Linked DNA regions of Notamacropus eugenii. The main gene of each other region encodes a partner of the protein of the gene in region 4 in a complex. Links are inferred from orthologs where the notes say so. Each region holds a gene or a part of one and is shown on either strand. Other genes may lie near its edges. The genes, in order: TRADD, RIPK2, ARHGDIA and NGFR.

Region 1 (7,351 bases), on a different chromosome or scaffold from region 4:
TTAAAATCTTTCTAAAGTGGCATGGGGAGTGAGTTTCCCTTTAGACAGCTTCAAATGAAAACCAGATGATGTCTTGTTAGGGACACTGTAGAAAGAATTCTCAATTCTCAAGTTGACCCCCAAGGTCCCTCTCTACTCTGAAATTCTGTGATTCTGTTACGTTTTATTGACCTTGTCCCAGCCCAGTACACGGCATACAGTAAGCCCTTCAATGTTGGTTAAGACATCTCCTTCCTTCCTTTCTTCTCCTGTGCCTTGGCTCTATGCCAGCCAACTTAATTCCCCCTCCCCCCATCCATGCTAGTGGTCTCCAGTCCCCTCCTGGGCTTGTGCCCAAGGTTTCTTCCCTCTGCCCCTAACTAAGAGGTCTATCTTCCAGACTTTTTTTACACCCACCGTTCAGGGACTGGACAGGCAGAGCTGCTGAGTTCGAGAAGTAGGAAGGGAGGGTGGGGGATGGGCCCTAGTCCCTAAATCCAAAGGGGGAAGGATGGGAGTGGGGCGGGGCTGAGCCGGACCCAGCTCATTTCCGACCTTCAGATTTTCAGCTTGGCCTAGTGCTTGGCAAGAGCTAGGCTTGGAAATTGTGAGTAGGGCTCGATTTTTACCAAGTGTAAAACCCACTCTTAAAACCCTTAACTTCCCAGGGCCTCACTTTCCCCATGTGCAAGGAAGGGAAATGAACACTTGCACTCAAAGTTGTCCTGAGATATGCTCTTTGCAAACTTTATAAGTGCCTCAGAAATTCGAGCTGTCCCACGAAACCGTACTCCGAGCAGAGACTCCTGAGGCTCGGAACATCTCCCACGTGGGGCCGGGCCCTGGCCCGGGACAGCCCAGGCTAGCCAGCTGGAGGCCTAGAGAGCTGGTCTGAATCCGCTAGATCTCTTAGTCCGATTCCCTCCCGGAACCGATGCACACATCCCTCCATACCCACTCCAGCCCAGGACCCCGCTTATGCCTGGCTGCTCTAACCAGGCCAAACCTGGTAGGAGGAACCCAGACCTGCGCCCTAGTGCCCTCGGTCCACTGGCCCCTGGCCATCCCACCCCTCCCCAACTCGTGCCGTGCCTTCTCCCCATCTAAGCTCCCCGCGGACACTAACCAAGCCGTCCGGTCCCCGCTGCTCCGGCTCTCGCAGACACCGGTTCTGTCCACCCGTTCTTCCGGGTTTGCGCAGAGCCCCAGGGGAGGGGGAGCGGGGAGGAGGAAGGAAAAGGGGAGGAGCAGAGCTGGCTCCCAGTCCCGGGATCCCCCGAGCTTCGCCGTGTGGGCCGCCCCTGGCGAGCAGCCAGGGCAGTTAAGAAGCGTAAACACCGGAGCTACGTAGTGGATGGGTATAAAGGCCTAAGGGCCTCGGTCCTTCCTCTGACCCAGCCCGATCCAAGCCTATGGACCAGCCTAAACTCCTGTGAGTCAGCCATCCCTGAGTCAGTCTAGCTGGCCCTGGAAATTCAGGAATCCCAGTAACCCTTTCAGCTGGAGATCCGAGGTCCGCGCACTGGGGCAGGTAAGAAACCTCCTGATCGCGGTTAGCTGGCAAGAACTTCTCAACTGGGAGGTATGAGTGATACTCACGGGGTCTGAGGAAGGTTGAGGCATGTGAAGTGCTGGGAAAAGCCCAGGGCTTGGAATCAGAAGGTGTCGGTTGGAGTCTCGACCTCTGCCACCTAGATAATCACTTTCCCTCTCCGTCTTTTTCCTCTTCTGCAAAAGAAGGGTAATAGCTACCATTTATATTACGTTTTCAGGTTTAGAAAAGGCTTTACGTATTATCTCGTTTGAACTCAACAGCTCTGTGAAATAGGCGCTATTATTATTCCCATTTTACGGATGCGGAAACTGAGGCTGAGACGGGTTAAGTAATTTGCCCAAGGTCACACTGCTAGTTCGTATTTGTGACAGGATTTGAACTCGGGTCTTTCTGACTCCAATCACTATCCCCTATGTCACTTAACTCTGGCTAGCCCATGAAGATTGTTGTGAGGAAAGCCGGACAACTGTGGTTTATTATTTGTCTTCTATTAGGACCCCTACCTACGGGCGTGGGGGAAGGAAAAGGGGATCCACAGGATGGGGATTCATGTTCAATTTGCCTTTTGGGAGTGACGGAGACTTAGAGGTCCCTGGCTTCTGTGGGCTAGACTTCCTGGGATAGCTCAAACAGAACCGGCCTCCGAAAACCTCACCTCACCCCACCCTATGCCTCATACTTTGAACTTTGAAAAGAAGACGTGGGGACCCATGATAGTATAGGGCAGAGCCGGTTAGGAAAATCTCGAGAGGTGGTTGGTGGCAGCCGGGGCAGTCTCCATTTCCCTAGAGCTTTAAAACTGAAAAAGCACTGGAATTGGTCGCGCAAATATCATTACCACCACAACTGAGGAAACGTGGCGATGTGACTTGCCCACAGACACACAATCAGTGTCAGAGACAGGATTTCGAACCAGGTTCTCTGACACTGAGTCCAAGGTTTCCACTACCTCAAACTCCCAGACCTGGGGGTGGAAGGAGAGGGACTTTCCAGGACCGGCTGTCTCCTCCGCCACCGAGCCCGGCCTCACCCAGCTTACAACCTGCCAATCTGTTCTAGGACACTTTAACCTCCACCACTAACCTGGGCTATAGGACTGGGAGAACGACAGGTGAAGGAGGACCTGGCTCTCCTCCCAGAAACGGAAACAACTGATAGAGGCCCCTGCCCCCAAAAGAGGGAATCCACAGGGTTGATGGCTTGTAGGTTCAGAGGCGAACAGCTGAGAGGTACAGAGGGCTGCAGACACCTGATTGATGTCCAGGGCACCCAGAGTAGAAGGACCAGCCTCCATTCCGCAGCTTTATCAGAGTTCGGCCCCGCCCAGGCTGGTGATTGGCTACTGGTCCCCAGCTGATTTGAATGAACCATTCACGTCTCTACTTGGGGCTCAAGAACCCTACCCATTTAACTCCTTCACTGCCCCAAGCTGGTGGGTGTCAGTGGAAAAGAGGCTCTGTTATCCCAAATGGCAGCTAGACTCAAGGGGTAACGTTGGCAGACCTTGTCAGGGTCATCCCGTAGCCGTGAGAGTGAGCTCCGGCTTCCTTGGATTCTACAGGGGCTCTGGGAGCAAGGGAGTCGGCGTTGGGGCGAAGGTGGAGGCAGAGAAAAAGTCCCCAAAGCCCCACCCCGAGTTCGGGCCCTGGGCTGCTGAGCTCCGCAGAGCCCGGCCAGGAGCCCCCGGCCTCGAAATGGTCCGCTCTCCAGCGTAGGGCCAAGTGTTCGCCCTTCTCGAAGTTCCAGGCAAAATATAGTCCTGAGAAGGCCCACAGAGCTGAAGGAAAAGCCGGAAGGCCACGGCCTCGGGTACGGTCCAGTCTCTCGGTCCGGTTAGTAAGTGACGGACCCGCCCAAAGGGCGGCGACGCTCAGGCCCAGGTTGTGGCTGTGTCCTGGATTCCGAGGCCGAGAGACAATTTATTCCGGGCCAGAAGGAAGAAAGTTGATTGTGATCTTTGTAACAATCGAGCGTATCGGGGGAAGGGGCGGAGGAGGGCGGAGTGAGGGAAGAGAAGTCAAATTCACAAGCTTTTATTAAGCATCCTGTGTGTGTTAGGTACTGCCCTAAATTCCTGCCTTCAAAGAGCGCACATTCTAACGGAGGAGACAAAGTTCAAACAGCTACGTACACTCCAGCTACAGGCGGGATGAATGGGAGGTAATTTCGGTAGAAAGGCACCAGCGTTAAGGGGGATGGGGAAAGGTGTCTTGCAGGAGGGATGACCTGAAAGAAGGGAAGCAGTCATCCTTCTGGGCCATTACTTTGGAAAGACTCAGTACTGTCCTGATGATAGGCAGTGTGCATGGAAATGGAAGATGAGGGGAGGCATCGGAGAGGGATTCGACTTTATTCTCTAAGCTCCCCCCGCCCCCAAAATAAGGGCATTGAACACAATTTGGCATAGTGTGAATGGCAGAGCTAAGTGAATGTGAGACCAGTCAATAAGCATTTATTAAGCACCTACTATGTACTGGGGACTGGAGATAAAAAGAAAGACAGTCCCTCAAGGTGTTTATCCAATACAGGAGATCACAAGCAAATATATTCAAACAAGCTGTGTACAGGATAAACGGGAAATAATTAATTACTAGAATTAAGAGGGATTGAGAAAGGTTTGCTACAGAAGGTGAGATCTGAAGAAAGCCAGGGAAGCTGGGAGGAAGAGATGAAGAGGTAGAGCACTCCAGACCTGGGAGACAAAAAAAAAAAAATGTCAAAAATCAGAAGACGGAGTGTCTGGTTGGAGGAACAGCTAGGAAACCAGTGTGGCTGGATCACAGATTATGTGGAGGTAGGAGAGGGGTGTAAAATGTAAGAAAGGCTGGAAAGGTAGGGTGGGGAGAAGGAACTAGGCTAAACAGATTTTTGTATTTTATTCTGGTGGTGCTAGTCACTGGAGTTATTGAGTCGGAGTGTGACATGGTCAGACTTATGCTTTAGGAATGGAAGAACAGGAATAAGAGAGAGACTTAGGGCAGGCAGATCTATTGGAATAATCCAGGCATGAAGGGATGAGAACCTTCATTAGAGTCATGCTACTGTTAGAGGAGACAAAGGGTGTGTTTGTGAAATGCTGCAAAAGTGAAATCAACAGTTAGATATGAGATGAGAGAAGGTGAGGGTGAGAGGAAGTGAAGAATCCAGAACTACTGGTATGTTGTGAGCCTGAAGGACAGTGAGAACAGAAGGATGGTACTCTCCATGGTAATAGGGAGGTTTGGAAGTGGGGAAGATTTGAGGGGGGGGGGGAGGGACCTAGAATGTTAGAGATAGAAAAGAGCTTATAATGTTAGACCACAGTACATAGAATATTATAGCTGGGAGGAATTTTAGAAGTCCCAGAGGTTCTTAACTTTTTCTGTGTAATGATCCAACCCTTGGGCAGTCTGTGGAAGCCTATAGTCTCTTTAGAATGTTTTTAAATGCATAAAATAAAATATTTAGAATTATAAAGGAAGCCAGTTATATTGAAATGTTTATAAAATTTTTAAATCAAATTTATGGACCTCTGATTAAGAACTGCTGCTTTCCAGTCTGTCTTATTTTTTACGTTTGCTGGATAAATATAATCTTAAAACAAAAGACAGATTGACCATATTAACACTGAGAGGGGTAAGCATGTGGAATGTATTGCCCTGTGAGAAGGCATATGCTGAAAATTAAAGGAATCTACAATGAGGTTTTAAAGAACGTTATCACACAAGTCCCTGAGGATACTAGGCCAAACCTAGGTCTGTTTGTAGGGATCCAAGCTGATGTTCTCATGGAAACCCCCACCCTAAGGTAGTTTCCCCAGCCATGCAAGGCATTGAGTAGGAGCAGGGGGAGAGTTCACTGAGTGGGTGGTTCTTTCCCTTTGAGTCATGCCCTGGTCTCTATCCTCAGACCAGCTCCAGTCACTCTGCAGAAGGATCAGCAGACAGGGATCCTTTGGAGCTCAACCACCTTCCCAATGGCTGAATCATGGAAATACCTCCCTGAAGAATTGCTTTCATTGATCTTTCGATACTTACCCCTTCGTGACCGATATGCGGTTTCCCAGGTCTGCCAGGCTTGGGCCACTGCTGTCAACTCAAGCTCTGTGTGGTACATCACAGATATCAGGTGAGGAAGCCTTAGGGACCTACAGTAGGAGCCCCTTCCTTTCAAGAGTTCTAAACTCCAAAAGTACCTGGGTGGCAGGCACAGTGGAGAAAGCACTGAACCTGCCATCAGGAAGATCGAAGTTCGAATCTGGCCTTGGACCTGTGCTACTGTGTGGCTCTGGACAAGTCCCTTAACCTTACTTTAGCCTCTGTTTCATCATCTATAAAAGGGTATAATAATAATAATACCACCTGCCTTATAGGGTTGATATGAGGATTAAATGAAATATTTGTAAAGTGCTTTACAAACCCTAAAGAGTTATAGAAATGCTAGTAATGTTATTTACTATTATTATTATTTAATTTAACTGAGGTCCCAGGACACCTTAGCCATAGAGCAAAATTCAAACTGATAGCAAAGGATCAGTTCTGGCACTTTAGCTTTCAGTAAGTACTATCAGCAGAATTAGAATAACTGACTCCAAATGAGTGACTGTTCCCCATTAATGATTACATGTGAGAGAGCGTGGCTGGCCCAGGTTATCAGTTCCACCCACTTCCCAGTGATCTTGGCTAATAGACTCATGCTTACACAGCTGCCAGCTTCCACTCTTACCCCTGAGGAAGTGAGTCGGTTCCCTAGGGTCTACTGAAAAGTTTTATAACATTGTAAATATTCAGCAAACTGTAATAACGCAGACATTGCCCTAAAGCCCTGCCTCATGGAGGCTCAGACACCAGAGATGGAGAGAAGGTTCCTCATCTCCTATGTCCTGCCTCCAAGTAGGAAGGAAGGGGCCTGCAGGGAGGTTTACTGATTTGGCTACATGGAGTTGTTGGTCCTCGAACCTCACATTCTGGAAACTATGCCAGTAGATAAGGAGCATACAGTAACAGGTCCAACCAATCTGCAACGGCTTCAGGCACCTACCCAGTGGCTTTTTGGTTGTCCAAGGCCTAACCTAGCTAATTCACTTGGCTTCAATTCAACAGGTAGTTATTAAATGCCTACCATGTGCCAAGTCTTCGAAAGAAAAGAATGAAAGGAAAAAAGAAAGGGAAGAAGGGAGGAAAAAGGGGGAAGGAGGGAGGAAAAAGGAGGAAGGGGAAAGGAAGTAAGAAAAGAAGGAAGGAAGGAGTCTCTATCTTTCAAGGAGTTTGCATGCTGTTGAAATGTAGCTAAATATGAAAGAGCTCAGAGCCAATCAGGCAAACAGTTAATAGCATTGAATTAACATTTTTTTAAAAAATTTATTCTGAACTTAACAAATTCTAAATTGAATGGGCATTTGCGTATGCATGGTAAATCAGAAAAAGGAGATTGTGCAGGTCTTCTTTTATGTATATAATAAGTTCAAGCTTTTTTAGTTTTTTAAAATCTGTTCTGCTTCTTTGGCCTTCTTTCTCTTCCTTCTGTTTTCTTCTTTTCATTTAAAAAAAAAGTTGCCTCAAGACTAGGATTTTCCTTCCTTCTTTCCTTCTTTTCTTTCTCTTTACTCCTCCTATCCTTATCTCCCCTCAGCCTCTCACTCCACCCTCAATGGAAAAAGGAGAAAAAAGCAAACCAAAACCCTGGTAACAGATATTTGTAGTCAAGCAAAACACATTCCTTCATTGGTCATGTCAGGAAATGTATTCTTTATTTTGCATCCTGAGTCAGTCACCTTCTGCCAAAAAATGAGTAGCATGCTTCCTTATCAGTCCTCTGCAATAAGAATTGGTCATTGTT
Region 2 (7,975 bases), on a different chromosome or scaffold from region 4:
GGGAGCGACAGTTACAGCTATAGTTCTCTCCATGTTACCTCAGGTGCGTTCTAAGGGTCTGCTCTTCAGCTCAATTCTCAAATGCCAGGGCTAGCTCTCTCTTGGATATAGAGATGGCTTCCCTTTCTGCAGCCAGAAGTCCCTTTCCTCCTTAAAGATGCTTCCTTCTTAGAATAACTACCTCTCTCTATCTGCATGTCTAGTGTGTATAGAACCACTTCAAAGTGATATGATTAATGGGGGTTATGGAAGGGAGGGGTGAAAGGAAGGCAGAGGAGGAGGTGAAGAGATGTTCCCTCCTCCAGACCTCCTGGACTATGTCTGTCTGTCTCTCATTCTCTTGGAGGGATGGATGTAGGGATGGATGGATGGATGGAGAGAGAGAGAGAGAGAGAGAGAGAGAGAGAGAGAGAGAGAGAGAGAGAGAGAGAGAGAGAGAGAGAGAGGGAGAATCCCTTTACAGAAAGAATGCCTTTAGAAATATTTACACCATATAAATCATCTCCATTTCTTTAGGGTGTTTAATTATGATAAGGAATCAACGGCTCTATCTTGAATGACCTACCTCAATCTCTACATGGCATTTTGTTAACAATATGACTACATCTATGTTGCTATACAATATTACATAATCCATTGCAGGAAAAACAGTGTGGTTATTCATGTCCTATTATCCCAATAAGCATTATGCATCATCTGCTGTCATTATTCAGCACCCTATCGTGATTCACCACAACAAATCCTCCAGACTTTCTAGAGGACACACCTTCCCCAATCATATCAGACACACTTTTGACCCACATAATATGAGCCACAATTTTACGCTCCCCTCCAAGTTGGAACTTGCATAGATGTTGCTACAGAGAACTTGTCATGTGAAGCACAGGTTTCATACTGATTTGAGCTCTACATCCCTAATTTTTATTGGCACAAAACCATGCATAATTTTAAAGAGAGATTAATACAGGTTATAGCCTGACTTCTTAAAGGAAAAATTATTTAGTTTAATTTCAGGTACTCAATAAATATTGGCTGAATTGAAGGGACCAGTGGAATATGAACCAGCATAATGGCCTGGAGTAGCTTACTGTAGGGCTCTTGTCCTGTCTAATGTTATCAAACAGGAAGCATGCTCAATCCTCATTCTCCTTGACATCTCTGCAGCATTTGATACTGTTGACCGTCACCTGGCTAGCTCTCCTCTCCAGGTTTTCAGGACAATTTCTTGCTTCTCTTCCTAACTGACTGCTCCTTCTCAGTATCCTTTATTGGATATTAGCCACAACACAGCCTCCAACTGTAAGTACACCACAAAGCTCTATCCAATATTCTTTTCTCTTCTCTCATTTCATCACCGTTTCCAAAGATAGTAGACAGAAAAGTTCTGTCCCAGAATCACAGACTTCCACGCTCCCCAGGACATGCCTCTAGCTACAGTATGCTGCCTGCTCTTCCCCTGACATGGTCTGACCTGAGCAAAGTACAGCATGACCATACACCTCCTTATTATTCTTAGAAACTATATTGCTCTTAATGCAGTCCAAGATCATACTAGATTTTCTAGCTGTCACATTACATTATTACTGATATTTAGTCTATGGTCCACCAAAACCTCCACAACACAGATATTTTAACAGAGAGCAAACAGATCTATATGAGAAACCAAACTTCTGTTAGTTCAGTTTCTTTTTAAGATATACACAAGTATACATATAATATATAATTTAATAAGATAGCAAAACTCCTGTTTATGGCCCCTTCTGCCTTTTTTCCTTCTTCAAACTACTTCCTAAATATGCTTTCACAATCTTATATTTGTGAATTTGATTTTTTTAATTCTAGTGCAATACTTTATTTCTAGTAAATTTCATTTTGTGAAATTTGACCCCAAATTCTAGCCTTCTAAGATCTTTTTAGATTCTTTCTCTGTTATTCATTGTGTTAAGAATTCTTTCCAGTTCTATGATATGTGTAAATTCAATAAGCATGTCATCTATAGTTAATCTGAGTTAATGACAAAAAATGTTAAACAGTACAAAGCTAAGCTCAGATCCCTTGGTACTCCACAGGAGACTTCCTTCCAAATTAACAATAAACCTTTAATGACAGGCCATTTAACCAGCTATAAATCCATAGAATTATACTGTTGTCTATCTCATTATCTTGCCGTCTTTTCTACAAGAATAATATGAGTCAAGCTAAATGAAAGCTAAGAACACTAACACAAAATTAGATAACATTAAAAGAGGCATTACTTCTAGCCCAAGGAGGTAGAACTCTGATCTGGTAAGACCATATTGGGAGTATTGTGATCATTTGGGGGCACATTTTAAGAAGAATATGGATAAATTAAGAATATTCAAAAGAGGAAACCAGTATGGTAAAGGGCTTTAATTTTCTGACATATGAAAATCAGTTGAGAGACCTGAGATGTTTAATTTAGAGAAGAAAAGACGCAGGAGGGTCATGACAGGTGTCAAGAACTTGAAAGGTTATCAAGAAAGATTTTTTAAAAATTATTTTTCAGTGATACAGGGTAGAAAGGAAATAGATTTTTGTTCATTGAAAAAATAAAATTTAATAAAAAAGAAAAAAGACTTTCACGTAGAAAAGGAATTCAATGTGTTTTATTTGATCACAAAGAGCAGAACTAGTAGTAAGGGTTGGAATTTTCAAAGAGGCAAATTAAGGCATGACTTCAAGAAGAAACTTCCTTACTATTGGATCAATTTAAAAGATTAATGGAGAAGTAGATAGAGCTCCAGGTGGGAAATCTGGATGATTCATGTTCAAATCTGACCTCAGATACTTATGACCTGTGTGACCCCAGGAAAGTCACTTCACCTCTGTTTACCTCAGTTTCCTCATCTGTAAAATGGGGATAATAATAACACCTACCTCCCAGAGTTGTTGTGAGGATTAAATAAGACAAAAATTGCAAAGCACTTACTAAGGTGCCTGGCACATAGTAACTCCTATATAAATGTTAGCTCTCATTTTTTTTTTAATTTTAAAAGTGAAACAGATTGACTTGAAAAGTAATGGATTTTCTCCTCACAGGTAGTTCTTAGACAAAAGCTGAGTAGCCATTTATTGGGCAAAACGTAGGAGGCATTCTTTTAAAGGTTTGGACTGGACTAGATGTTTGGTGAAATTCCTTCAAACTCTGAGATTCTATATTAAATTTTATTAGATCTACAGTGAGAATTTTAGCAGCATATTAGATGATTAGTAGTCAAATCCTTCAGCAATCAGCAGAACACAATATACAAATATTTTGTCTTTGTTTTTGTCTTAACTCATGAGTTCATCAATGTAGAGAACTCTCAGCATGCAAAATCCATCTGTAAATACAAATCATGTATATATTTTAATCTTTGAGAATTTCCCGGGGCATCAAAGGTTAGTTTAAGTTACTTGTCTATAGTTACATAACAGATATGTGTCAGAGACAAGATTTAAATCCAAATCTTCTTAACTTCAAGGTCTCTATCCTTCCTGAGGCCATTAAGGACTAGACCATCACATTCTGCCTCTACCCTTAAGATTTCAAAAATAATACAGTAAACACTGAGCGACATCATGACCAATTAGAATTTAGGCTCGTTGAAGGCAAGAACTATATTTCTTTCTTTCATTCTTTGTATCCCCAGGACTTAGCACAGTGCCTAGAACATAACAAGATGAACAAATGCTTGATGCTAGACTTGTTGACATGGCCAAAGTACTGGAGCTAATTAATTAGATGTCTGAACTTCAAGGTAGTCTGAAGCATGTTCCTAAGAGCTCAAGAAGACCATCCTGGATTTCTCTATTCCTGTGGTCTATAAGCTTTCTGTGCATAGAGGCTCCCTGGCCACATGCCACCCTGTGTCCCCCTCCAAGCCTGTCTGCCTTTGTAGGACATGGAGATATTAATTCTGTAAGATGAAGGCTGTGTCCTGGATCTGGTGTAAAGTGAGGCACCTTAGATTTTCCTTTAGGGGCCTTCTCTTAAATATTTCAAATAAATAGGCTATTGTTTAGAGTTTTGCAAAAATAAAGATGAATTTGGGTAGACCTGAAAAGGTTTAGAAGTCCAATTACAGCTCATTTCCATAAATCCTACCTACTCGAGGAGTACATGGTGATCTAGGAAAATTAAATTACAGGCTGGGGTCATAAGTAGAATTCTTTTAGATCACCATCAGCAGTGGGATATCAAGTGTGTGATAAAGCACCATCTATCAAACTATTTCTCTAAAGCAAAGCTATCAGACTGGAAGTCTATAGGCCACAAGAGGCCTAGCTGAATGCCCATTTAAGCAAATCAAAATGCAATTGAGAAATGTTTTACAAAATTAAAAAAAAAAAATACAATCCAACACAGGTAATGTTAATTTGCCTTTTTCTAAGTCAATATATGATCCTCTCTTTTTTGAGTTTGGCACGGCTGCTCTAAAGGAAAACATTTTAAAGTAGAAGAGAAGTTTAAGATTTTTGTTATAATTTTATACTTGATGAAACCAATAATGGCTACTCAACCTTCAAGTAACAGTAGTAATATGAGGATGCCTACAGCAGACAGATATTCCACATCTACAAGTCTATTGTTTAGATGATTACCTCTGCTGTTGCTGCCACATTCATCCCACAGTGGGCTCAATAGCACCTGACGATTTTGTGCATGTCATTTTACTTCTCTGGACTATGGTTTCCCCATCAGCAAAACTGGAAATCTCACATAAAGCCTCTCTCTTCTCCCTAACTACCCCAATTCCTTCCATAAAAGAGGGACAAGTAACTCATTGCCAAAGCTTGGTTTGATAGAAATACAAGATTTGAGATCTGAGTTTCCTTCTAAAGAGACAAAGTTACAAAATCCTCATCAAAGGAATGTGGGCAAATGAGAAAAAAAACAAAACAATGAGAAATTTAGTCCATCTTTTCTGTAAAAAAAAAAAAAAAATTAACTGGTCAGATTTTTTTTTTTTCCCTCAAAGGGAGGTTGCCTGGTGTAATGATTCAGGTACCCAATTTTTTCAAAGCCAAAAGACCAGAATTCAAATCCCTGACATTTATTGACACTCTGTGACCTTGGATAAGTCACTTTAACTCTCTGGGACTCAGTTTCCTCACCTCCAAGTGAAGTTGGATTATACAACCTCAGAAATCCTTTCCAGTTCTAAATCTAGACACCTACAAAAGCTGGAGCCCTGAGCAAATTCAGAGAAATGTCTTCCTTCCTTCCTTCTTTTCCATTTATCCTACTTTTATATGCTGATAGGGGAATAAAGATGAAGAGAAGGAAGAAAAGATTCGAGGGGAAGAATTAAAAGAGTAAAATGTCTTTATAATATATTATGATAGGTTTCTTTCCCTGCAGCTCCTATATCGATGGAGCAATGGGAAAGACAGTGTAGGACAAGCAATACCTGATTTCTGGGACTGGGACTTTATTATTCTCCAACACGTGGCGCCCTCCAAAAAGGTCAGAATTTATTATTTTATAAACCCTTCCAAAAACAACGTTTTCCAGTGTTTCTCACCAAGGTCTTCCATCCAGTTCAGCTGGCACTTTCTCCCCTAGCCGCCCCACCAATTCCCCCACCTCAGACTTGGCTCTCCAGTTTGGCAATTTCCGAGTTGTACGTGCAGTCTGGAATGAGAATGGAAGATCCCGCTGACCAAGCGGAAAAGAACCGGCCGGGCACACTTAGGGGTTTTCCCAAAAAGAAAGTGTGGCTTTTCCTGAAGCCAAGGGAGAGTAGAAGGAAAAAACAAAAAAAACAAAAGAGGAGTTTCCTGATCGATCGCCTCGCTTCTTTAAAACTCTAGAGCGAAACTTTTCCCCCACAGCCCATACAACGTGCGCAGCATCCCCACAGTCCTTTCAGAGGAGGAGGCGTCTTCCCAGGGTGGAGACCTGGAGGCTGGCTTCTTACGCTGAGAGGGCTGGCACGGAGCCTGAGATCTCGGAGGCACAGGGGGTGAGGGACTGAATCGGGTGATCCCGGCGCGGGAGGAGCCGGGAGGGGAAGGAAGAGGAGTGTGCGCTGAGCGGCCAGTGCCAGGATCCAAGGCTGGAGACGCTTTTAAGCTGCTGACGTAGCCTGGCAAGCTTGGGAAGGGAGGAGCAGCCGGAGCCGGACCCACACAGAGTTCGGGAGAATTCTTCAGTTTCCTCCAAGGCTGGGGGAGTAGGTCTCGGGTGGAGAGAAGCAGCACCCATTGAGACCGGAGCAGCTTCGGCGGGACTTTGCCCTCGCTTTCTGGGGAGCACCTTCGGGGCTGTGGGCGGCTCGAAGCACTGCAGAGGCTGTTTGGATTGCAGCCGGGGAGGGTTAGCGGAGTCGGGGAAAAGGGACTTTACTTTCTCAGGGTGCTAAAGGGGAGGGAGCCAGTCTCAGACCGCTGCCCTCCGGGGGGAGGGGAGAAGCACCAATGCCCGCGCTCCCGCAGCGGGAGGTGGGAGCGTAGTAGCGCTGCCAAAGCGGAACCGTCCCTCCAGAAACACCGGACTTTCGCTGGAAGAGTTGGGGCTGTCTCCTCCCGGTCTGGCTAGGAGGATGAACGGGGACAGCCTAGCCATCTCCAGCTCCTTGCCCACCATCCCTTACTACAAGCTCGCCGATCTGCACTTCCTGAGCCGGGGGGCATCAGGCACCGTGTACTCGGCTCGCCACTCCGACTGGCGCGTCCAGGTGGCAGTGAAGCAACTGCATTTCCAGTCCCCATTGCAGGAAAGGTAATGACCCTCACCATCGCGGCCCTTCCTCGGGGGCCACAGGTCTCCGCCACCTAAAGGTGCACTCCCACCACTCCGATCCTTCCCTATACCCTCTGTGGCTCGTGGATGTGGTCAGGTAACAGGCGCGCGCGCACATGCTCTCCTATGCAGGTGAGCGCCTCCCTGCTCCGCCGGGCACCTCCTCCTGAATCGGGCTGCCGTGTGATTTACAGGAGAAGCAGGTGGGAGAGGGGAGTGGGGAAAATCCAGCTCTTTTGTCCCTTTTCTTAGACCAGAATCAGATTTCAGCCCGTCTCCTAAATCCCAAACCCCACATCATTGCCACGCCATCCCTAAATGCACCTCCCTTTGCTTTGCTTTGGTTTTGTGTTTGGCCTTTATGGATATGCCATTTAAAATATATATAATTGTAAAGGTACAGTAAGGTTTTTGTTTTGTTTTTGATGGTTGTGCCTCTTGTTGATTGACTTTAAGAAATTTTAAATACCATAGCACATTAGACTTGAGTTATTCCTCCTAGTCCACTCTGGAATTGAAGTCACTGGAGGCTGGAGAACCTACCTCTCATTCTTATTGTATGTGGTAACTGGTGGGAGACTGTCTCTAATGGCCACTGGTCGATTTAAGGGAAATGGTTAAAGTTTGAGGAAACTCTCCTTTCGATTTCAGTTCCAGAAATATTAGCAACACAAGCCTTCAATTCTGTTTGTGCCAACTCTAGACATAGATGCTAGTCTGTGTGTACACTGTTCTTTCCTTTGTAACTTCACTGTACCCTACAGTCACTTTGCAGTGGTCTCACTTTCATGACCTAAACACTTTCTTCTCCCACAGAATCATAGAAGCCTAAACTTATAAGAGACATAAGCAAGTCAGCCTCTTAATTTTACAAGAGTAAAAAGGAGGATCCAGGGAAGTTAAGTGATTTGCCCAAGGTCTGATGGTGGCAGAAAACTCAGGGTTTTTATTTGTTTGTTTTACCTTCAAGGTTAAGGGACCTTTCTGCTACAAATGTATGTAGATTTGTAATATTAAACTACAGCCTAGTGAAAGACGTAGTATGTGTTTTCTTTCTAAATCCTCTTTTAAAATATTGCTCAGTCTCCGCCAGGTTCTACCTCTCAGGGCTGTCAAGATCCCCTCCCCTTGTTGCACTCCCCAACCCCCATTCCCACCTTATCTTCAACTATTAACATCTAAAAATGGGAAGTAGCCAGCTATTAAGGCTTCAGTAGCCCTCTTAGG
Region 3 (7,618 bases), about 25 Mb from region 4:
AGCAACCTCTTAGAAAATTCTAACAGTTCTAAGTTATTACTGAATCTTGTTTTAAGTTTATTTCTATCAAAGGTGTGCTTGTGAAGGTTCTGTGTTTAGCATTCTCTTTATGTGTAGGAAATCAATACCAATCCCAAACCTGATTCATAAGGTACATTCGGTATTTTTCCTTTTGGGGAATTCCTAGACAGGAGGCTAAACCAAAATTTTAAATAATTCATCCCCAGGAGCATTAGGGTAAGGGTTTAATTATCCCAAAAATCTGAGAACAGGGAGTCTAGTCTTCCTCTCATTAGTCTGTCCAACTAACATTAACTGTCTATCATGTATCGAGCACTATGCTGAGCTAAGGATACAAATAAAGGCAAAACAACTAGTCCCTGCTCTCAAGGAGCTCACAGTTTAATGGAGGAGACAACATGTAAAAGATTTTGTACAAACTATATACAGGACACATTGGGGTGATCTCAGAATGAAAAGCTTAATGCAGAAGGTTTAACTTTAGCTGAGACTTGAGGGAAGCCAGGAAAGCTGGAAGTTAAGAGATGAGAAGGGAGAGGGTTCTAGCCAGTGAAAACCCTGAATCAGGATAGGGAGTGTCCTGTGAAAAGATCAATAAGGACATCAGTGTCACTCTATTGGAGAGTATTGGAGACTAAAGCGTAGGAAAACTGGAAAAGATAGGAGCCAGGTTATGAAGAGCTTTGAAAGCCAAACAAGATTTAATAGTTGATCCCAGAGGTAAGAGGGAGCCACTAGAGTTTATTAAAATTTTAGGGGGAGGAAAGTAGCCAGACATGCATTTTAGGAAGATCTATTTAATAGCTGAGTGGAAGACAGACTGGAGACAGGGAAACCAACCAAAGGCTACTGTAGAAATAGCCCATGTGTGATGTGATACAGGCTTGTACTAAGGTAGGTGCAAAGTTAGAGGAGAGAGAGGACCTATAGTTAAGATGTTATGAAGGTAGAAACAATAGTCAACATTTCTTAAGCATCTAGTATGTGCCATACATGTGCTAAGCTATGGGGGATACAAATATAGAAAAAGGCAACTCTTGCCCTCAAGGAGTTTCCCATCTAACAGGGGAAGACAACATACAAAAGAAAGCTGAAGGGGGTTTCAGAGAGGAGGTACCTGGCCCAGGGGCATGGTGAAAAGTCAAAGAAGACCAAAATGAATGCCATAGAATGGGAATGAAGAAATATCTGTGAGGTCTGACTTGTTCCTTTTCCTTAAATGGAGGAGTTTATACCTCCACCCTCCAATCAGAGGGGCAGAAGGTACTGATGAGGTATGAGTAGAAATGATTGAACTTAACTGTACTTGGGAAGACAGAAAGTGAGAAGCTGAGAATGACAGGTTGTATGCCTGGGAGAATGGTGGTCTTCTCAACAGGGAGTAAAGAAGTTTGGAAGATGGAGAAAGAAAATGGTGTGAAAGATAATGAGTTTGGTTTTGGACATGTTTTGTTTAAGATGTTTACTGGACACTCAGTTTGAGATGTCTAAAAGGCGAGTAAAGGTAAAAGCTGGAGTTCAGGGGAGAGGTTAGGACTGGACAAATAAGATCTGAAAGTCATCTGCATAGAGATGATAACTGAAATAATGGAAGTGAATGAGACTGATAAATGAAATAATATAGAGGGAGAAGAAGGGGGATAGCCATTGTTAGCAGGCATGACCTGGCTGAAGATCCAGCAAAAGAGACAAAGGAGTGGTCAGGCTTGTAGGAGAATCAGGAGAAAGCAATGTCAGAAAAACCAACAAATTAACAATATCAGAGGCTACAGAGAAGTAAAAAATGATGAAGACTGAGAAAAGGTGATTCGATTTGGCAATTAAGAGATCACTGGTAACTTTGGAGAAAGCAGTTTTGGTTGAATAATGAGTCAGAAGCCAGATTGCAGAAGGTTAAGGAAAGTGAGAGAAAAGGAAGTGGAGGCACTGGTTGTAGATTGCTTTTTCAAGTTTGGCCACAGAAATGAGGAGGGTTATATAGCTACCAAGGATGGACAGTACAAGTGGCGGGGTTTTTTTTAAGCTGGCAGAGACATGGGCATATTTATAGGTAATAGGGAAGTAGACAACAGACTGGGGGCAAATGAAGATTAATGAGAGGGGGCAATCTGCTGGAGAAGACTGGGTGGAATGGAATTAGCCCCAAAGGCAAGTGGGCTCAATTAGGAAAGATCCCTTGCTGCAGTTGAGATCATGCAACATAAACTTTTAGTGGACCTAGTTAGCAAAGTTTCTTGATTTTTCTCTGACTTCATTCAGTAATGCCTTTAGTAGGAACAAAGGCAGTGAGTGCTGGGAGTAATCCAAGGCTGGAATATGAGAAGACAAACTCCATAATCAGGGTTAATCAGCAAGGGACTGGAGAAGATAGGGTAAAGTTAAACTGGTTCCTAAGGAGGACTAGGTAGGGAAGGAAAGAGAGTATAAGTGCAAGGATGATGGTCAGGGAAAAAACTGAAGGTTTTGGAGGTCAAAATAAGAACAAAGAACAGAGCTTAGAATTGTAAGGCAGAGGGAGAGGTGGGATGAGAACACACTGATCAGATAAAGGGATTTCACAATTTATGAACATAGATATGAAACACTTGTGGATGATGACAAGATCAAAGGTATGACCATCTCTGTATGTAGCTCTGGTATAAACCTAACTATCCTCCCATTGACCTAGATCTGACTGTGTGTCTGGGTCAGGAGCAGAGGGACCCTTTAGTGGAGAAGAGTGAGGATAGTATCTGGTTCTTCAATGTCAGACTGGCATAAAAATAAAAGGAAACATTCAACTTTTTAAAAAAGTTCAATAAAATAATCACTGGTGAAATTGGAAGACAGATTGAAAGTCAAATTCTAGAACCACATTCATGTTTCAGAAGAATGCAAAGACAAAAATCTGAAAGATGACAGAAGAATAACACACAGACGCTAGTGTCTCTAGAATTTTAAGTAACATTCAACTTTTTGGTAGTCTTTAAATATGAATTAGAATTAAATTTAGCTTAAAAGTCACTGTCTACTCAGTTAATAAGCATTAAGCCCTTACTGGCAGACATTATGCTGTCCTAAATGCACCTGTCCTCTTATTATTAATATATTATAATTAATAATATTATTATTCTCTTATAGAGAAACCCTAGCGGGGTTATTTGGGTGCTTAAACACAGCGTGGAACATCTCCACAGCAAAGTGGAAGTCATCTGGTAAACTGTGGTATATAATATTTAGATGGGTTCCAGGGTGGGGAGGGGGACAGCCACAGCCAGGGCTCCTAGAAACCTGGCATCTTTAAGAACTCTGACATTTAGATTCACAGATCAAACATGATTTTAATGCACTTATATTCTAATTTACTACATATAGACAATGTACTTGTTTCAACTCCCCTACTATAACTGGAAGCTACTGTACCTTATTTCACCTTCATATCTTATCAAGTGCCTATCTAGTATGGAAATTTCGTCCACTCCATACAGGTAACTAGCATGTAACTTTTTGTCTTACAGTTGCCCGGTGGCACCGACAGGAGAAATCACTTTAGCCAGGACAGAACTTGAACCAAGGTGTTCCTAACTAGGCAGTTAGTTTTCTGTCCAGCATAAGAAGATGCCTCTGTATATAGCAGGGAGCTCATTAAATGTTCGCTAAATAAAATGATTCATCAGCTACTGACAGATAAGCTAGGTGATGAAATGGATAGGACCTTGGACACGGGAGTCCGGAGGACCAGAATGCAGTTCCAATCCTGCCCCAGACATTTACTAGTTGTTACTTTGTATAAATCACTTACACTCGCTCCGCCTGTTTCCTCACGTGTAAAATGGGGATGCTAAGAGCAGACCTCGCGGTACGTGAGCAGCAGATGTGATGATAAATGTGAAGTGCTCTGCAAGCTTCTGGGAGCTAGACGCTAGCTGTCATGGTCATTAAAGCGCTCTATAAGTATTACTAATAAAACGCTCTACAAATGCTATTATTATTATTATCATACAAGGCTAACTTAAGCGACTTTCCTCAACTGACGGAAAGGCGGGGGAGGGAAAGGGGAGGCTCCCGCGGGGGTGCCTGATTCGCAGACGCCTCCCCTGCCCTCCCCCCAACTGGAGGGCATCACATGCCTAGCTCGACTCTGGGGCATCCCCTGGTTTCCATGGAGACAGGGAAGGGAGTCTGGCCCTCCGGCCCAGCCGGATTCACCCCACGGGCTGTTCTCTGGGAACAGCACAGGCCTCAGGCCCGGCACCGGAAACCCTACCGGGCACGCACAGACACCCCCAAACCGGGGCCAACCGGGAATGCCTCAGAAGTCTCAGTCGCCGCCAACCTCGGCAAGATGGCCGGGCGCAGGCTACTCTCTTTCCTCCAGAGCATTTCTCTATGGTCCTGGCCCGCTTCAGCACCTTCCCTTCCCCCTCCCTCCCCGTGGGTGGGTGGGTGGGTGGGTGGAGGCTGAGGAAGGCCTCCTTCACCTCCTAGCGCCTCAGCCTACTGGGGGAAGGGACAAGTGGTGTGGGCGCTTGCGCAGACCCAGGCCGCCCGCCCGCCCGCTCGCTTGCTTGCTACCGCTTAGAGGCTGGCGAGCGGAAGTCGCGTGACCCCGGAAGCGACTGGAGGGGGCGCGCGGGCGGGGTGGAGCCGGCCCACTCGGTTCGTCGTTAGTGCGGGAGGGAGCGCGAGAGGCGGCGGACGCGTCGAACTCGTCGGTGAGTGAGTGACCGGGCTCCGGGGAGTCCACCCTTCATCCCGGAGCCGCTGCTGCTCTTCCGGACCTCCCCGGGAGGGCGGGACGAGGAAGGGAGAGCCGCCGCCACCGGCTGGAGGGGAGGGACGTCAGGGTGGAGCCGTCGCCGCGGCCGCTGCAGCCTCTGCTGCTGCCTTTGTTCTGCCGCCCCCAGCCTGGGCGCGACGTCTCCGCCCGGAGTCCGGGGTCTGGGGTGGAGGGCCTCGGGGAACTCTGTCCCCAGCCCCGCTGGGAGGCGGCGGCGGCGAAGGCTCTCTGCACCCAGGGACCAGGGGTATCCGCCCGGGCGGAGGCCGCGGGAGGGGCAGCGCAGCCGCCGGGAACGGGGGAGGTGACAGCTGCTCGGGGCTTCCTGCTGGCCCCCTGGCAAGGTGGGGGAGTACGGGAGGGGGAAGCTGCCCACCCATCCCCGCCCCTTCCTCAGCACATCCCTTCCGGCAGAGCCCCTTAGAGGGAAGAGGCTGAGATGAAGCCCAGGCAGGCAGAAAGAGCCAGGAGCTGGCCAGAGGCACAGATGGCGTCCAAGGTGAGCCGCGCCCACGTGGAGAGGAGAGGAGAGGAGAGGGGGCAGCCAGAGGCAGGGACAGGGAGGTCCAGGCTCGGAGGAGCAAGCCCCGGCTCCTGGCAGGCAGCAAGTGGGGCGAGGCGGCGTGCCGAGATTGACAGCCCTTGGAATGGAGGGAGCTCGAGGAGCCCGGGGGGTAAGCCAAAGAGGAAGTGACCCTGGAGGCCATGGAGACTTGGCCCTTGGGATCATGTTTAGAAATCAGTCTTTCCTTTCTGCGCCCCACATTTGGTCTTTTAAAAAAAATCCCCTTTTTTTCGGAGCCACCCACACTCTAACGGCATCCTAGTGAAACTGGCTGCACTATAGGGGGGAGGAAAAAAAAACCAGTAGATGTCAAAGAGCTCCTCCCATTCCTCTGAGCCCCTTGAGGGCAGGGGACTGCCTTTTCCCTCTCTTGGTATCCCCTGCGCTTAGCACCGTGCCATACCACTACTCTGGAGGGGGCCTTCACATGTTTATTGACTGATTGAAAAGAGCTTTGGCTCTCAGTTCCCTCATTTTTTTTAAAAGAGGTAGTTCGACTAGATCTGGGCTTTCTAAACCTTTTTTGTTTGTTTCATGAACCCCTTTGACAATCTGGTGAAACCTGCGGACCCCTTCCCAGAAGAAAGCTAAATTTCAGTTAGTGAAAATAAAAATGAATTTTTCTCCCCACTCAAATTCGTGCATTCCCCCCTCTCATCCCAGATTAAGGACCTTTGGATTAGATGGTTTCTTTGGTCCTTTTCTGCTTTAATACTTTATGAGTCTAAATACTGTCTGTGATTATATCTCCTGTTTCTAAGGAAATATACTACAGGTTGGATTCTTAATATTAAATAATTTCTGGACTGCTTGATTTCTTTTACCTTTGGTTCTAAATTTATGCCTCTAGGGATGTTGGGAACTGCTTAAAATTCATCCTGTTCCCATTCCTAAGCCTGTTTTCTGTGATTGCTTAATTTATCAATATTTAGGGAAATAGAGTTATGGGCTCTTATTCTGGGCCCTGAATCTCGGGGTTATTCTAGGAACTTCATTCTCTTCCCAAATTGTTCTCAGACTGAGGATGATGACCTAGGATCTAACCCTATTTGGGCTTCTGATTTTACATAAGAGCCACATCTCCTGTTACTTAGATGATTTCTGCAAATCCAAATGCAACATGAATGGATTGTGGTTTCATGGTGATGCTATTGAGGGATTGGGATGGAAGGGCAAGGAGAAATTTTAAATCAATAAGCATTTATTAAACAACTGTGAGGTGCCTCACATTGCTAGATACTGATGTTACAAAGACAAAAAAAGGAAACTTCTGCCTTTGAGGAGGAGCTTAAGGTTCAATCAGGGGAAACCAAATATGCACCTAAAAGTCTATATTGAATTACTTTATATAAGGTAAAGGTGGTATGAAAGGCCTCATGAGGGAGGGCTTGGAAGGGAGAGAGGCATTCTAAGAGGATCCACCACGCATGGAACAGCCTGTTCCAAAGCATTGAGGCAAGAATTGGAAAGTTGTATGTACAGGGAATAATAAATATCAAGTAGGTCAGTTTGACTTGGACCATAAATTGTTTGAAGGGAAGTAATATGTGATAAGTCTAGAAAGATGTGTTGAAGCCAGGTTGTAAAGGGCTTTAAATCTCCATACAAAAGAATGTTCAGTTTTATCCTAGTGGAAGTAGGGAGCCTCTGGACTTCTTGAAAAGGGTAGTGACAGGGGCAGGTTCTACTTTAAGAATATCCATTTAGCAGGTTTTTGGCTTCCTGGATGTAGAGCAGAGACTGGAGGCAAGGAGACCAATTAAGAGGCTATTCAGTTAATCAAGCAAGCATTTTGTAATTCCCTGTTATGTATCAGGCACTGTGGAATGCAAATAAAATAAATGAAATAATGCCTCTTCATAAGGTGGTTATGGTGTGGTGAACCCAGATACCTGATAGTTGAGGGATGGAAAACTTCGATGGAAATGGTGGTGCTTGAGCTGGGTCTCAAATAAAGAGGTTCTTTCAGTTGGAGGTAAGGAAGGATTGCATTCCAAGTATGAGGAACAGTCAGTGCAAACAAGGTATGCTGTACATGGGAGATGGAAGTGTCACTTATGAGGAACAGAGGAAAAAGGACAGTTTGGTTGGATCTCAGAGTTTGAGACAGGATATTATGTCTTACAAGGCTGAAAAGATATGATAGGGCCAGGTTGTGAAAAGCAGACAGAAAACCTTTAGTAATCCAGGCAAGAAATAGTGAAAGCTTGAACTACTCTGATGTACTGTTATGTGTAGAGAGAAGAGTATAGATGTGAGAGATGCCATAGAAC
Region 4 (7,847 bases):
TACCGCAATATTTTCCTAATTGTTTTCTCTGACTCAAGACTCTATGAACTCCATTTCTTGGTGTCTTCTCCATTGCGCCCTCCTTTTTTTGGTGTTAGTACAATATGGTCTCTCTAATCATTCAGTTTCTTTCTTCCTCATATCTTGAAAACTAACCCCCTAGTGCTTTAAAAATTGTGTCCCCTGACGTATATTTCTTCTGTATGAATATGATCTGGCCCAGATGTTCTTCCCATCATCATTAGTGACATTTCTACTTCCTTGTGGAATAGAGCCAATTAGTAACATATTCTACTTAATAGACTTTGGAGGCTAGAGAAGCAGCATTGTCCAATGCCCCCATTTTATGAATGAGGAAAGTGAGGTCCACTGAGACAAAGTTACACATCTAGTAAATGACAGTGTCAATCCAAATTCAGTGGTTCATTTGCCATCAATACTAAACAATATTTGTTAGAGAGATGCTGGCAAATATATTCCATATTTGAGGGGAGATAGAATCTATGGCCAGGGTACAGGAAGTGAACAGAATATAAACCAGACACAATGAGTCTGGGAGTGGTTGGAAGGAAAGAACTGATCTGTAATGGGATTGGAAGAGTCTGGGAAGGCTGCCTGGAGAAGGAAAGAGAAGAATCTGAGCTAGGTCTAGAAATGATGAAACTATGAAAATATTAAAACCAGATCTCCCTTTTCTATTATAAATAACATGCTACCTCTGGGTAAATCTATCTGTATCATTGAATATTTCCCTATACCTTAATTTCTACTTTGATGCTTTAGATGTGACTCTGGTCTCACAAAGCTGTGTTAGTGGACCATAAACTGATGGCAACTTTAAAAGGCTGGTATAAAACCAATGACAGAATGTGCCTGCTATCAATGGACCTAAGGAAATATGGAGACTCTCATCACCAAAAGCTGGTTTCCATGGAATGTAATTTTTTTGTATGAGCCAGTCTTGAAATCATTTCCTAAGGTGTGGATAAGTTGTGATCTGTATCAGTGGAGGAGGATCCCACACTCATGAAATCATAGATCCTTAAAGTATTGAACTATGCTACTTGAACAAAAATTTAGGGATCCTACCTCTGCTGTTAGACCGGGAGCTCCCGAAATAAATAGGTAACAAAATATATAAAGGGTCAATACAAATGAATTTGGTTTAGATCTGATCACAAGACTGGTGGTGCTAAAATCTAGCTTGTCATCTTGACTCTGTCACTAGTTATATGACTTTGTATTCCTGGGCCTCAGTTTCCTCATTCATAAAATTAGGACCTTGGATTAGATGATGCCTAAGATCCCTTTCCAGTTCTCAAAGTCTATGAGTAATTTCCACTACAAGAGAATTCCACCAGTATGGATTATAGTCCCTTGATAATTTATAGTATTAGTTGCCCAAGATTCTTAGAGCTTAAGTGATTTGCCCACAGTCACACAGATAATAATTCTCAAAGGCAGAATTTGAACTCTCATCTTCTTTATTCTTAGTCCAGCACTCTATTTACTGTGGCAAGCTGTCTTTCCCATATAATACTCCTAATAATAATATCTATAAAAATTATGTTACTGCTTAAATGAGCACTGTTATCCAAACTATTAATAATAATAAAATAATAATAAAAATTACCTCCTATTGTTATTAACAATAAACAATCTTTCAGTAGAACACATTAAGGTTATATTCAATTACACATGACTCTCTCCATGACTCCACTGGAAATACCTTTGAGGAATGGAGGTTTGCTAGACTGCCTCTAACTACTTGTGTGACCTTAGGTCCTTGAATTCCCTTTTCTTATCATGGGAAAACTTCCCCAGGCAGAATGGGCCAAGGAGAACAATTTGTTCCAACGACCATGAAGAGGACTGAAGGAGGCACTGCGGAGCACTTAAGAGCTTGGTCAGACATTGAAGACTCCAAGGTTATCCATTGCATCTTGGGGTCAGAAACATCTTGACTTTTGTCTTGCAACTCAACTTTGGTGACTGGAAAAGAGTGAGGATGATGATTTTGTGCAACTCTGCTTCACTTAAATCCAATTCACTTGCAAGTCAAGACATCACCCCATGATGTCCTTTTTGAAAACAAAGAATGGGACAACAACATCACAGGCCCTCATCTGTAAAATTAAGATGTTGGACCAGATGACCTCCAAGGTCCCTTCAAGCTTTAAATCCATGATTCTGTGCTCTTATGAACAGCAGTAATATGTGTTATGATGTCATATTATATTGTGTTATTAATTAGTATGCATTATTTCTTTCCATGAAGTCTGCACTCAACCTACACTCACCTACTTGCTATTTCACACAGAGGACACTTCATCTCCCAGCTCCATGCCTTTGCATCTGCTGTACCCCATTTCTGGAATGTAATTCTTCCTCACCTCCACCTCTTGGAATCCCTGGTCACCTTCAAGATTTAGCTCAAACGCCACTTTCTACATGAAACCTTTCCTAACTCTGCCCCTAGTTGCTATGACCCTCTCTCTCCATATCATCTTGTATTCATTTTGTTTCTTTTCTATAAATACTTATATATGTTCATGATCTCTTCCCCTTTAGCAGGTAAGCTCCTTGAAAGCAGGAATTCTTTCACTCTTGTTTTTGTATCCCCAGTGCTGAATAAACTTCCTGACACTCAGTAGGCATTTAATAAATACTTGTTGATTGTGAAAATCAGTATTAAAATTAATGTTATACTGTCAATATGGTTGATGACACTGTTGATATTAGCTATTGGGTCAGTATGAATGTCGTACTCTCACACTACTGCTAGATGGCATAGTGGATAGAGTGTGGGCCCTGGAGTCAGAGTTCAAATCCAACATCAGACACTTACTAGTTGTGTGACCTTGGGCAAGTCACTTAACCCTGTTTGCCTCAGTTTCCTTATCTTAAAATGAACTGGAGAAGGAAAAGGCAAGCCATTCCAGTATTCCCAAATGGTGTTACAAAGTCAGACATGACTAAACAACAACATTCCCTATCCTTCATAACTTCCCATATACTTCATCCACTGACAGGAACAACATACCCATAAGAGTAACACAAGGGGGAACAGCTGCATCTGTTAGAAATAAGAAAGAAGGAGTAGAATTTTCCTTCCCTTTTTTAAACCCATGAAGGGCTTCCTTAAGAAGGTTTATCTATTCTATCCTCCAACCTTTGGCTCAGAGAATCAAGCCCATTAATAAGTGGAATATTTTTGGGGGGGAACAACGATAAACAGAAAAAGTTTAATCCTCCCATCAATAAATTTGGTGCTTGGAAAAGCCAGTGAAACTAATTCTTGTTTCCACTGATCTTTCCCCAGGGATTCTGAGTTCCTTTCATCATGTGACGATGTGCTTGGAATCAGAAAAATGGATTCAAACTCTGCTTCTGACACAAGTTGTGTGACCATAGGCAGGTTGCTTAACCTAAGTCTCAGTTTTACTCATTCAAAAAGTGGGAATAATTATACCCATAGTACCTACCTCAAGCAAAGGGTGGGTAAGATTGCTAATGTCATTTTGTGTAGGCAGAAATTGAAATGAAAGCATGTGAGGGGGATAAGAAGAGGGGGGGTAATTCTCCCCTTTAAGAAGGCAAGACTAGTCCCACAAGTAATAAACTAGCACAGTAACAAGTGTCAAAAGCACAAAGGAACCAAGACTTCTTGTCCTTTGAAACCCCAACTGAAAAGGGAATGTGAGTCCTATTAGCTGTGCAACAACTGGCAAGTTGTTTTGCCTCTCTGGATCTCAGCTTCCTCCTCTGTAAAATGGTCAGACTAGGTCCCATGCTGCTCTTAGATTCTAGCTTCTGTGAGTCACTGGTGAAGAGCTGGTCCTCATGTTGTCCTACTGGTTCCCTAGCTTGGCCCCACCTTTATCACAAGGGCTTAAAAAGGCTGGAAAGGGCAAGAGGAGAGGAGCCTCAATACCTGTTAATGTCCTAGGGCCAGATTGGTGTAGCTCAGGGGTGTAAATGCCTACTTGGTGATTCCTGGTTCTCACCTGTGTGTCACTGAATGTGTATAGTTTGAGGGAGGGACAAAGGCAATGTCTGATCGCTAGACTTCTGGAACCGACCCAGCTGTGAGCAAAGACAGAATTCAGTCAATCATTGGGATCCACTCCATCCCTATATCCATTCTTCTCCCTCAGAATTCAGATGACCGACTACATCCTGGAAGGGAGACTGAGGAAGGGAGGGCAAGAGATTTCCACTTGCCTTCTTCCAGAAAGGCCTTTGCATAGAGAGAGAACGGAGCTTTTGCCTGGGCCAGGAGGTAGATAAGTGACTGCCCAGGAGGTGGGGAGGAAGAGACCTCGAGTGGCGGGAGAAGGGGGGACGACTCTAATCATAGGTGGGGAGAGAGCAACAACAACAAAAATAAACAGAAAAGAGGTGAAAAACATCAGGTTGAGGACAGGCAGAGAGGAAAGGGCAGGGAGGGACTGTAGAGAAGTAGATACTGAGATACGAAACAAGGGGAGAGAATAGAGGATTGGCAGAGCGACAAGGAGACAGAACTGAAGCCAAGGGATGCAGGGTAGGAGAGAGATAGAGAGGCCCTGAAAACACAGCACAGGTTGGTGACGGGGAAAGAGGAAGCTCGGGACAGGGGATGGGTTGTAAAGGGCTGGGGTGGGAGTGGGAGGTGGGGAGAGTGATGGAGGAGCAGCTCGGCTTTATGGCCGGGTCTCCCCTGCACCCTCCCCTCCCCACTCCAGGCAGCGGGACTGAGGGGTGGCGGGGCGGGGCAGTCACTGTTCCGGACGGGTGGGCGGTATGGGCGGGGAGGGGGCGGGGCCGTAGCCCTGGCTCTCCCGAGTACCTCCTGCCAGCAGTCAGAGGGAGCGGAGCCTCGGCTGGCTCCTGGCGAGTGCAGAAGCAGGACCAGAAGGACTGAGCTAAGGAAGCTGGGTGGGGGAGGGAGGGAGGTGCCACCAGGCACCCAAGGGTGGTCTTGTCCACCTACCCAGCCATGGAAGGGTCGTTCCGCTTGCTGCTGCTGTTGCTCTTGGGGGTGAGTTCAAATGGGAGGTGTCCTCTCTTCGGACGCACTGGGGCTGGAAGGGCGAGCAGAGCCCGCGGATACTAGAGGGGAGGACGCTAGGAGGGAGAACTTGAATTCCAGGGCCACTGTGCGCTGGAATAGTGTGGGAGAGACTCGGACCGACGCCTCGGTCTTTCCGAGGAACCTTGGAAGAACATTGATGCCTGAAGGGACTGGGATGCCTGTCTCTTAGAGAAGCGCGTGTTTGGAGGAAGGGGGCAACTCAGATGCCTGGGTTCTCCGGAAGCGGAGGGAGGTGTTGAGGTTCAGCTAGTCAAGAAGGGGACTCGGGCGCTTTGGTCCCTGGAGTGGGGTCATGAAGGGAGAGAGATAGGAGAGGTGCTCCGACTCTTCGGTCCCTGGAAGGAGTAGGTTGGCTAAGGTAGAGGGTATTCCGACGCCTGGATCACCTAGAGGAGCTTCGGTTGGACCAACGAAGCAAGGGAGCGGTGGAGAAGGGGATGGGGTGGGTGGGGTAACTGAGCATCGGGACAGACGGAATGGGGGAGCAGGCTCCAGCGATAAGCTTCAGTAGAGGCAGTGGGGAACGGGAATTGGGGGCTGAGGGCAGGCAGAAGGTATCGAGGGTGGGACATCCGACAATAGGGACAGGGCAGGACAATGAGGGGAGGGGAGGGGGATGCGCTAATGAACGAAACCGGATGCCTACAGAGAAGGGGCGTTGGAGGCGCAGATAAGCAAGAAGGGGGTTCATGAAAAGAGTGATGGAGCAGGGGAGGGCAAGGAGGAAAGGAAAGCCGAAAAGTGGGGGCAGAGAACAGAGAAGGGGGCTGAAGGAGCAATGAAATGGGTAGGACCAGAAGGCTGAAGGTGAGATCAGAAACTAAGAGCATGGGAGCTAGTCAGGACAATTTTCCTCTATGACATACCTAGCTCGGAGATTGCAGATGGAGAGGGGATTGGGGCCCGAGTTCTCCGTTCTCTTAGGGCATCACCGGTCACTCTTCTCGAAATCCTTCCAACTCTCTTCTCCCACTCCCATTTGGCGTGAGCTTCCCAGAGCCCTTCCTGGTGGTGGGCTAGGGGGTAACGTCCACAAGCTGGTTTTAAGCAGAAAGAGAGGCAAAGAAAGGGGATTCCTTGACCTGTTGTCCGGGTGCCCAGTAAAGGACAGAGAAACTGAATTGTCCCACGCACCAAATAAGGTGGGTTCCCTGGGGGGATACAAGCTAAATCTGGCTCCCGGGGTTTAATGAATAAAGTGCCGAACCCGGGAGGTCGGTGGCCAAGAGAGGGCGCTCAGGGGAGAGTGAAAATGGGGCAACCCCAGCCGCTGCAGTCCATTCTCGTTTCATCCCATCCCATTCATTCCCTAAAAAATTAGTCCTGCTCTGCTCGGTGTAGCCAGTCTACAAATCCTACAACTTTGTCCCGCACACTTCTGTTCCACGCTATCTGAACTAGCTCCGCCTTCCCCTAACGGGCTCCGCTGCCTGCTGCGGGAAAGATTTAACAGTCTCAGGAGTCTACTCTGCTCCTAATCTTGGGAGTTGGTGGGGGCGGAGGGAAAGCTTGGCATTCTACCGGGCAAAGCCCTGGTCCCTGGGGGATAGAAAAGAAGCCGGGAGAGAAACAGAAGAGAGAGAAGACCAACTGGGCTGACGACTGGATTTCTGGGTCCGAGGCGTCCTCTCTAAGAGTAGAGAAATCGGACCTAGGGATGTCTGGCTTCTGAAAAGCTAGCCAGGGACTGGGGATGGGGTGGGATGTCAGGATCTTCTGGATCCCTCTCTTGCTGAGTCATGGGGAGAGCTGTCTGAGGTGAAGGTCAGCGTGTCCCCCACAAAGGGGCCCCAGTCCAGCAATTATTGGAACTATGGAGCGGGACAGTCAGATTAGTCTGTATTCCTAGGTGCCCACTCTGAATCAGGCTCTGATAGCTCTAAATCAGGCACAGGGGCTGAGAGAAAGGCAGGTGAGGATTTCTTCTCAGACTCTACAAGAAAGCACCTTCAATTGGCCTGGTCCCCGAAACTACACTCGCAGGGTTACCTTCTTGCAAAATTGACCCTATGGGGTGGGTGTGGCCAAATCACGAAAGGCTTTGAATGCCTGAGACCACACTTTCCCTGGGGCCTCCCAAAGCACTTTGTTTTGTATGGCTCAGATGGCATTGATCTTGAGGCTGAAGTGCTGGAAGGGGGGAGCGGGAGTGAATCGTCTGAGGGAGGTGGTGGTAAGTGTCATCGGGGTGACTGAGGAATACCCCCCCCCCCCCCCCCCCCCCCGAGAATGGCCAGATCTGACCTAGGTGTGGGGCTGAGGTAGGATCAGGGCTGAACTACCACCAGGCACTCCCAATGACCACTCCTTCTTCGGCTATCTAGCTGTAGGCTTTAACCAGAAATGGAGTTCTTAAGCTTTTTGGGTGTGTTGTGAATGCTTTTCACAATCTGGTGAAGCCCATGGACCCCTTCTTAGAATCACCTTCTTAAAAAACTGAAGGAAATGCAAAATTTTTATTTGGAGGTTTTTTTTTCTCATTCAGGTCATGGTTTCCCTCCCCCAAATCTATCCCTAGGGGGTCCATCGGCTTCAGGTTAAGAACCTCTAGTTTAGAAGATTAACTTATCTTGTGAACAGAGGTTGAGAAAAATTGGGCCTATTTATCTCTCCTCTCTCTGGGGTTTATCTGGGCGTCTCTGGATGACAGATGTCTGGGGGAACTGGGTGGGCAGAGAAGAGTCCAGGAGAAGAATTTTTTGCTATAAAAGACCAATTATTTCCCAGATTTCTGAGACTAGAGGGGAGATATGAATCAGAAGCTAAAGGT

The links.
Region 1: the proteins of NGFR (region 4) and TRADD are in contact, whole or in part, in an NMR structure (PDB 7CSQ), measured with the Homo sapiens proteins. The link is inferred for Notamacropus eugenii from reciprocal best matches to the Homo sapiens genes NGFR and TRADD. Residues at the interface, in NP_002498.1 of Homo sapiens: Glu345, Glu346, Glu348, Lys349, Leu350, Asn352, Gly353, Ser354, Ala355, Glu379, Ala380, Cys381, Arg384, Glu420; in NP_001310481.1 of Homo sapiens: Thr201, Phe202, Asn211, Ala275, Glu276, Arg278, Arg279, Thr281, Gln283, Arg284, Glu287.
Region 2: the proteins of NGFR (region 4) and RIPK2 are in contact, whole or in part, in an NMR structure (PDB 2N83), measured with the Homo sapiens proteins. The link is inferred for Notamacropus eugenii from reciprocal best matches to the Homo sapiens genes NGFR and RIPK2. Residues at the interface, in NP_002498.1 of Homo sapiens: Gly334, Leu335, Ser338, Leu339, Pro340, Lys343, Val347, Ser354, Ala355, Asp357, Arg360, His361, Gly364, Glu365, Tyr368, Pro370, Ile373, Asp374, Leu398, Asp399, Leu401, Leu402, Arg406, Arg407, Ile408, Gln409, Arg410, Ala411, Asp412, Val414; in NP_003812.1 of Homo sapiens: Gln437, Ser465, Arg466, Asp467, Leu468, Met470, Glu472, Asp495, Ile496, Gln497, Gly498, Glu499, Glu500, Lys503, Ile523, Leu524, Val526, Ser527, Arg528, Ser529, Pro530, Ser531, Leu532, Asn533, Leu534, Gln536.
Region 3: the proteins of NGFR (region 4) and ARHGDIA are in contact, whole or in part, in an NMR structure (PDB 8X8T), measured with the Homo sapiens proteins. The link is inferred for Notamacropus eugenii from reciprocal best matches to the Homo sapiens genes NGFR and ARHGDIA. Residues at the interface, in NP_002498.1 of Homo sapiens: Arg274, Trp275, Ser277, Cys278, Lys279, Gln280, Lys282, Gln283, Gly284, Ala285, Ser287, Arg288, Pro289, Val290, Asn291, Gln292, Thr293, Pro294, Pro295, Pro296, Glu299, Lys300, Leu301, Ile307, Ser308, Val309, Gln312, Ser313, Asp316, Gln317; in NP_001172006.1 of Homo sapiens: Ala8, Glu9, Leu11, Ala12, Gln13, Ile14, Ala15, Ala16, Glu17, Asn18, Glu19, Glu20, Asp21, Glu22, Val25, Pro30, Ala31, Gln32, Lys33, Ile35, Gln36, Glu37, Ile38, Gln39, Glu40, Leu41, Asp42, Lys43, Asp44, Asp45.

Annotation. Positions count from the first base shown.
Region 1 is NC_092872.1:694,973,618-694,980,968, forward strand, and holds the start of TRADD (tumor necrosis factor receptor type 1-associated DEATH domain protein), read right to left. Parts: upstream 3,008-7,351; 5' UTR 2,906-3,007; coding exon 2,618-2,905; intron 1,708-2,617; coding exon 1,579-1,707; intron 1,511-1,578; exon of another isoform or gene 1,282-1,510; intron 1,240-1,281; exon of another isoform or gene 1,106-1,239; intron 1-1,105. Other genes in the region: FBXL8 (F-box/LRR-repeat protein 8), read left to right, coding at 3,684-3,694, 5,423-5,641. UniProt on the Homo sapiens protein: Adapter molecule for TNFRSF1A/TNFR1 that specifically associates with the cytoplasmic domain of activated TNFRSF1A/TNFR1 mediating its interaction with FADD.
Region 2 is NC_092875.1:164,404,451-164,412,425, reverse strand, and holds the start of RIPK2 (receptor-interacting serine/threonine-protein kinase 2), read left to right. Parts: upstream 1-4,966; 5' UTR 4,967-6,548; coding exon 6,549-6,727; intron 6,728-7,975.
Region 3 is NC_092873.1:325,952,467-325,960,084, reverse strand, and holds the start of ARHGDIA (rho GDP-dissociation inhibitor 1), read left to right. Parts: upstream 1-4,611; 5' UTR 4,612-4,715; intron 4,716-5,194; exon of another isoform or gene 5,195-5,279; intron 5,280-7,618. UniProt on the Homo sapiens protein: Controls Rho proteins homeostasis. Regulates the GDP/GTP exchange reaction of the Rho proteins by inhibiting the dissociation of GDP from them, and the subsequent binding of GTP to them.
Region 4 is NC_092873.1:351,342,421-351,350,267, reverse strand, and holds the start of NGFR (tumor necrosis factor receptor superfamily member 16), read left to right. Parts: upstream 1-4,846; 5' UTR 4,847-4,981; coding exon 4,982-5,023; intron 5,024-7,847. UniProt on the Homo sapiens protein: Low affinity receptor which can bind to NGF, BDNF, NTF3, and NTF4. Forms a heterodimeric receptor with SORCS2 that binds the precursor forms of NGF, BDNF and NTF3 with high affinity, and has much lower affinity for mature NGF and BDNF.